Linked DNA regions of Xenopus tropicalis. Each later gene encodes a partner of the first gene's protein in a complex. Links are inferred from orthologs where the notes say so. Each region holds a gene or a part of one and is shown on either strand. Other genes may lie near its edges.

Region 1 (3,657 bases):
TTACCTGTCTCACTTCCTGAATAGAGCAGTACCTTACTCTGCTAGGATACAGCAGCATATGAGATTGGCCATACTATCTGTAGAAGTTCCCTAATGATGGCACGTACCGGAAACTGATTTGAGCCTCTGTGTGGAAAAATGAAGACATCCTTTTTTGCTCTTCATCCTGTACCTAGAAGAGAAAACCACAAACATTACAAATCATGTTATTACATCACGGGAGGCACGAAATGAACTATGAAGGTGCTAGTACTGCATGGAAAAAAACATGCTTGAGATTTCAGGGTTTTAAGTTTGTGGTCCTTGGTTAGGGTTGCCACCTGTTTTTGCCACCAATATCCGCCTTCGGGTTGGGGGTGGACAGTGATGTCACTTGGGGGTGGAGTGATGTAACAGGGTGGGAAAATAGGTGGATGGGGTGGGATATGGGCTGGATGTGCATAGAAATGGGCAGGGAAGAGGTGGGCCTCTGCTTTAAAGGGGGTGATTGGCCATGGAGTGGGTTAGAGAAGGGAGGGATTTATAGGTAGGGTTGCCACCCTTACAAATTTACCAGCAAATATATTGCTAGTAAATTTATAGTACCAGCACTGGCCCTAGCTGGTGATTTACCCTAGACAGCTCACTAACATAGAGCAGGGCAAAGTGCAATGTCAAAAAAAAACAGGAGCAAAACACCATTGGGGTCATTAATCAACACTGATTGGCACTGATGGGCAGTAACCCATGGCAACCAATCAAATTGTTGCACTTATTGTTCTACCTACAACTGGTTGGTTGCTATGGGTTACTGCTCATGGGAGAATTTCCAATATTGATAAATGAGCCCCAAATGTTTTGCACTTTGCATCCTATTAAAAACAGAAATGAATATCCATGGACTAATCTACTTTACCTTTTTAAGCCTTTTTATTGCATATAGTTTGTCTTGTTTGTGTCCCATGTAAACGTCGGCAAATTCTCCTTCGTGTATGATTTTGCTGCTGCAGAAACAGTCAGTGGCATCCTCCACGTCCTTCTGCGTCCATATTTTACACAACCCTTTTGAAAAGGAACTTTTCTCTTGCTGCGGGATACTAAGAACCTTTACAATCAATGAAAAATAAAATATAGTACATTATCCAGAAAGCTCCGAATTACGGAAAGCCCGTCTCCCATAGACTCCATTTTAATCAAATAATTCAGAATTTTAGAACTGATTTCCTTTTTCTCTGTAGTAATAAAACAGTACCTTGTAACTGATCCCAACTAAGATATAAATAATCCTTATTGGATGCAAAACAATCCTATTGGGTTTAATTAATGTTTTATAGATTTTTTTAATAGATTTAATGTATGGAGATCCAAATTACGGAAAAACCCGTTATCCTGAATACCCCTGGTCCCGAGCATTCTGGATAATGGGTCCTATACCTGTATTTGCTTTAAAATGTAAACTGTATCAGGCTGTTTCATATCATTAACATGTTTTACTGATACCTTGCACTTGGGTGCCACATTGTTATTAAAGCATTGGGAAATCTTTCTGGCTGTATGAAAGTCATAAAAAGCAAAAAGAGAAATATATAATAGAGTTTAGGGATCCCTGTTTTTAAGAATGGCCATTCCAGAATAGTACTCCCTCTGTCCCAAGGAATGCAAAAATCATCCCATCCCCCATGATTAGAATTACTATCTTTGGACCCTGGGAAAGTGCTGCTCTTCTCTAAAATACACACCAGCAGGGGTTCCTATTAACATCCTATGAACGTACACATAGATACCGGGTTACTAACCAATTCATTACTGCTCTGATATCCATTAGGCTAAGTGAGGGAATAGCTGAGGGGTCCTCAACCAATCAATATAAAAATGATGAAAACAGCAGCACTCCGGTTGTTTTGAAAAATGTGAATCTTTACTCAAGTGCCAAAAAGTGCTGCTGTTTTCAGCATTTTTGTATTTATTTGCCCGGGCAGTGGGTACAGCGTGCACCTGGGGCTGCAAGAAGCTATTTTCACTGTGTCAGCACATGTTAACTGATTCAACCAATCAATATACCCACAGATCATCTTATTGAAATTTTCAACTCTTTTATGGTCTATAAAGATACAATATGTCTCTAAATGAGAAGAAAACCTAGTCGGATGCATACAGCTGGCCAAACACAGCATAACTTCCTCATTTGGTGACCTGACCATCCAAAGCAGTTGGCCCAATCAGCTGATTCAATTTCTGTCCCTCACTGAAAAAATCATTGGATAACCCAGGTGATTTTCACATACAATACGATATCTGCTGCCCTTAATATGCAGGATTTATTGCCTCTGCTGATGATATCTGACCTAGGTTCAATCAGATATAAGTCAGAGAAGGCATCATTATGCCAGCATGCTGTCTATATATAAATGTGCATTTATATTTTGTTCTGGATAGTGTTTATGCATCTTTTCTACAACGCCTCAACTGAATAAACTCATGTCAAAAGGGGGGTTTATAATTTTTTTGAGGCTAATATCCCAGGGAAGGTAACACTAAGCTGGATCTGTACTAAATAACATGTGAACAGTGCAGTGTTTCTTATATCTCAGTCTGTGGGGCTTCCAAACTGCGATGTGTGGGTTGTACAATTAATTAAGCACTAGAAAGCAAGGTTAAGGTTCTGATCAAGGGCTTGAATAATCTGAATGCTGAAGATGAGATGTCTCTTTGTGGTTGTATCTGTTTTTTTCCCAGTATACTTATCAGATATATTGCGTTGTAAGTTTATCTGATTGGCAAGCTGCATAGCAGATTTGGTGATTAGGTGCAGACCACAGATCTGAGATACTATAGTTGTTATTTTTACAAGTCAGAAATGGAACTCAGGGAGTGGCAAGGAGTCCATTAATTGCAGAAAGCCTGGGGCCTACAACTCAATAACTCAATTTAATGGGCCCCGTAATGAACTGTGCTATTAAAGGAGAATATTTATGTTTGCGTAGATGGAATATTTTTCTTAGTAACGCCTAAAGAAAACCATTATGAGTTATTTTTTGGATCTACATGCTACCAGTGATCTCAGACCTGGGCCTCTAGGCCTTGTTTCTTTCCAGATTATTGTGACATTACCAGAACTGTAAGGGTTAAATCCTGTAATCTCTGTTCGTAACACCTGTAGCACGAACTGTTAGGGTAAATCTCTGTAACTCTGTCTGTGCACCTGTAGCACTGTCCCTATAAGCAGTCACGGACCGGTCCGATTTAATCTGTGCGTCGGCGAAACATCTGATATCGTCTGCGCATGTGCGCTGATCAGGGAACTTGTACAAACGATACAACCAGTATGTGTATTGCAAACAAGTACCAATTTATTTTGTTTTGATATTACTTATATAGTAGATAGAAAAACACATCCCATTATGCTTACGTATCATGGGTGGGTACATTGCAATTATTAGTAGAAATACAGAAATTATTTAATTAGCTTATAACACAACATATGGGCTGTCATAAAGCTTTCTTTTTAGGTATGTTTTACGGAAAGGATAATCTCCCTATTAAAGCCAGGCCAAGTAGATTTGGCACCCAAGGCATGGATGGCAATGTAAGCTATCACCCCCATGGTACAGCACACCATTACTACTGTCTGAAAGTGCTGGAAGTTGGGGGATAGACAAGAAACTGTTCTACTGATGA
Region 2 (3,657 bases), on another chromosome or scaffold:
TTTGGGTATCATAAGTGTTTAAAAAGACATGGAAAGCGATATATATAACTATATTAAAGTGCCCCTGCAAAGGCACTACCCACTCTTTCCAAGATGGTCCCCTCTCATATATCTTATTTACTTAAATGGGCCTGAGCTGCACATATTCCAACTTAAACCCAGTCCCCTCCCTGTATTTAACATTACAGTCCACAACATCACCCTACATTCAGTTTTCCATGGCAGGTGTCTAAGTGTAACTTTAGGCCCCCTTCCTCAATTTCCCAACTTACATTTATCAGGACATGCAGCTTCTTTCTATGGACCATCACAAAAATACATCCATTCCTCCCCTAGATGTTGATTTTTTATTCATCTAAACGTTGTTGCTACATATCCTACATGTCAGCTTTGCAACACCAGAGTACCTCTGTATTCTTCTGAGTATCACAATATATGAACTTACCAAGCAAGCTAGCCTGTCCAGCAAAGAACCATTTGGCATATATGTGTATATCAGACAGTACTGATCACCATCTTTGGAATAACCAAGTAGTTTTACAAGGTTTTCATGTTGGCATCTAAAGAAACAAACAGATATCATGGGATAATTTTCCCGTAAACAACAATCAAATGGCAGGAATAGTCATGATAACTACTACAAAAAAAAAAATTCTCCTCCTGTCATACCATGAATACTGTAGTCTTTCATATGACACAGTGATCAAAAATTTAGTAAGCAAAAGCAAGAGAAATGAAAGCACATGTTTTCAATGTTTTAATTATATACATAACAGAAATCTGCAGTTGTATGCAAGCCTTAAAGCTTATACAGGTCTAAAATAAAAATTGCAGCTATAGTACCCAAATAAACTAATGCCAGGTGGTAAAAGTCAAGGCAACAAAACATCAGCAATTTAAACGGATGCTTTATGCATTTTAGGTTTAAAGGAAGTATAACAAGATAGCCCACTGTGGAGCAATTGTAACCTTTTGCTGAATTTCCTGAAAGCAGCAGCATAGATTAAGTAAGGAGCGAAACAAACTGGTCATGTTTTTATGTATGATGTGCTACATATGCTGCCTAATTTCGGCATTTACATTTCCTGCACTCACTATGGTTTTGCCCTGATATGCAGGAATTCTGGCAACAAGTTATGAAATTCGTGGCTGCAACCCATTTTATTATACCCCAAAAAGATGGTAGCCCAGAACTGGATGAGCCCATAACCTCCATCACTCAACAAAAGGATTCTCTTAGTAAAGTTACTACTGGAACTGTACAAACTTACTTACACTCACCACATCCACTCACTTATAAATACAACTGCCCAGCCACTCCTCCATTTCTTGCTTTTTTGTTCCCTTTCTCTACTCCATTTTCTGTTTATGGCTTAATTTCATCTGTCCCATGAACCGGGTTAGTGCAACTACTCTCGGATTTGCAGAGCAGCAGGAAGGAAAGAAAAATGTAGGGCATCTCATTAATTCACTGCAAATGTACCGCGCAGTATGGCAAATTGAATATGCTGTATGAATGTTAACCAAAGGAAGAAAGGTACATTTTTGATAAAGTAAAAATTACAGCATCATTGTATAGCTGTAGCTTGTATATTGTCTGACTTCATGGGTATTACAAAGAAATGAATGCGTCTTCTCTTCAGGGAATGCTTTCCACTTAATATTGAAACGTGATTGGTGGAATCTGCTTCAATTAGACTACAAAATATTTGTGAGGTTGGGTACTGATATTTGGCAAACAGGCCTAGCTTGCAATCAGAGTTCCACTTCACAAGTGTTCAGTTAATTGAGGGCTCTAAGCAGTTCAGTCAGACTCTTCAACTCCAACCTCAACAAACCCCACTTTTTGATTAGATTATTATTATTCAGAATTTGGGAAGGGGTTTCCCCAAACTGTTGACATAAATATGAAACACATAGTTGTCACACCTTCAGACAGGTAACATTTTCCTGGCACCAACCAAACACATGCATCAGACTGCCCAGTAGTGAAGTGCAATTTGTCCCTTCAGACCTTTTCACCACTCCTGCCTAACATCACCATACACTGCATATGGCAGTGGTAAGCTTGTGTGCACACCCTTGCTCCTGATATTAATTCTTTTAGTTTGAAAAGTAGCAGTCTCTCTCTGTTTATGGCCTAAAATGTGTGGAAACTTTTGCCCAAACTATTTTTCTCATTATTTTATAGCACTAATATTGAAGTAATGTTGAATTACTCACTTGCCCATAATTTTGATTTCTTGTTCAAACTGGCATGTTAGATCCTGAATACTAGCATCGACCAGCTAAAAAAAAAAAAGATAATTTATTATTGTTAACCCTAATGTCAATTATTTAGTAACATCATCCTCTTTTCATTCAGTGTTTCAAACAGAGTAAAAAAATAATGCTAATCAATGTGCCCCTGTAGCAGGCAAGGCAAACTTATTAATTCAGTTTTGCAGAGCAGCTGTATGGTATTTAAAACAAGGACAAGTTCAGAACTCAATGAGCACCACATAGAGTAACAGAAAACAATGTGCAGTAGCTGTATATTTTTGATTCAAGACTGTAATATTACAGTTATAGTGTAGTTGTTCTGTGGCATTACTGGGCAACTAAGACTAGGCACTGTTTTGATGTTTTTGATATGGCATAACAATAACAGCAAAAAGTAACAAAGCAACATTTTGTTCCAATGATACTTTATAGCAGGGGTGCCCAAGAGGTAGATCGCGGTCTACCAGTAGATCACTTTAAAGTTTTTCGTAGACCACAAGGAGGGATGCCATCCCACCACTTCTTTTTCCCCCCAACATAACAGAGCATTTAACTGCAGCCATACTGCTGTGTTGACATTTGTATAATGTTATATGGGCATTAAATGTGAAAGAGTAGATCACAGGGTGACAAACACTGGGTACCACTGCTTTATAGTATTGCATCTAACTGCTATGATAAATTTCAAAGAGAGGGAGAAAGAGAGAGATACAAAATGTCAACATCTGGCGGAACTATTTCAAGGATCTGTACAAAGAAATCCCCCATGTGAGCAAACCCCAGAACAAAAGAATATACAGGGCAAAGCTTCATGCTCTGGAGGAGAAAATCAAGGACTTCCAGACCCCTTTGGATGCACCAATGGCACCCCAGGAAATAGCAGACAAAATAAAAGACTTACAATGTTAAAAAGCCGCCGGTACAGATGGAATCCTGCCGGAGATGATTAAATAGGGCCCCCCAGAAACACATGCTGCAATAGCCAAACTCTTCAACCTAGCCCTGAGTGTCGGCCACTTCCCCAAGGCATGAAATCAAAGCCTCATAACCCCCATCTACAAAAGTGGGGACTGGTACGACCCAGCCAATTACAGAGGGATCTGTGTGGGCAGCACCCTGGGAAAACTTTTCAACAGTATTCTGAACAGGCGAAGCCTCACCTTCCTAACCCAGCACAATGTCCTCAGCCAGAGCCAAGCAGGGTTCCTGCCAAACCACCGCACCACAGACCACATTTACACCCTGCACAGCCTCATCAGAGATCATGTCCACAATACAAAACAAGGAAAAATATTTGCCTGTTTTGTGGACTTCAAAAAGGCTTTTGACTCAGTATGGCACCGTGGCCTATTCCTAAGACTACTGGAGAGTGGGACAGGAGGGAAGACATATGAC

Evidence for each region. The genes of interacting proteins can lie anywhere in the genome.
Region 2: the proteins of irak2 (region 1) and irak4 are in contact, whole or in part, in a crystal structure (PDB 3MOP), measured with the Homo sapiens proteins. The link is inferred for Xenopus tropicalis from reciprocal best matches to the Homo sapiens genes IRAK2 and IRAK4. Residues at the interface, in NP_001561.3 of Homo sapiens: Tyr6, Ile36, Lys44, Met48, Glu59, Trp62, Trp63, Trp64, Gly65, Met66, Arg67, Gln68, Ala69, Gln73; in NP_001107654.1 of Homo sapiens: Asp24, Phe25, Pro28, Gln29, Lys34, Glu92, Phe93, Phe94, Ala95, Pro96, Ser98, Val105.

The regions. Positions count from the first base shown.
Region 1 is NC_030680.2:131,764,957-131,768,613, reverse strand, and holds part of irak2 (interleukin-1 receptor-associated kinase-like 2), read right to left. Parts: intron 1,085-3,657; coding exon 896-1,084; intron 173-895; coding exon 108-172; intron 1-107. UniProt on the Homo sapiens protein: Binds to the IL-1 type I receptor following IL-1 engagement, triggering intracellular signaling cascades leading to transcriptional up-regulation and mRNA stabilization.
Region 2 is NC_030679.2:64,406,261-64,409,917, forward strand, and holds part of irak4 (interleukin-1 receptor-associated kinase 4), read right to left. Parts: intron 2,289-3,657; coding exon 2,224-2,288; intron 561-2,223; coding exon 446-560; intron 1-445.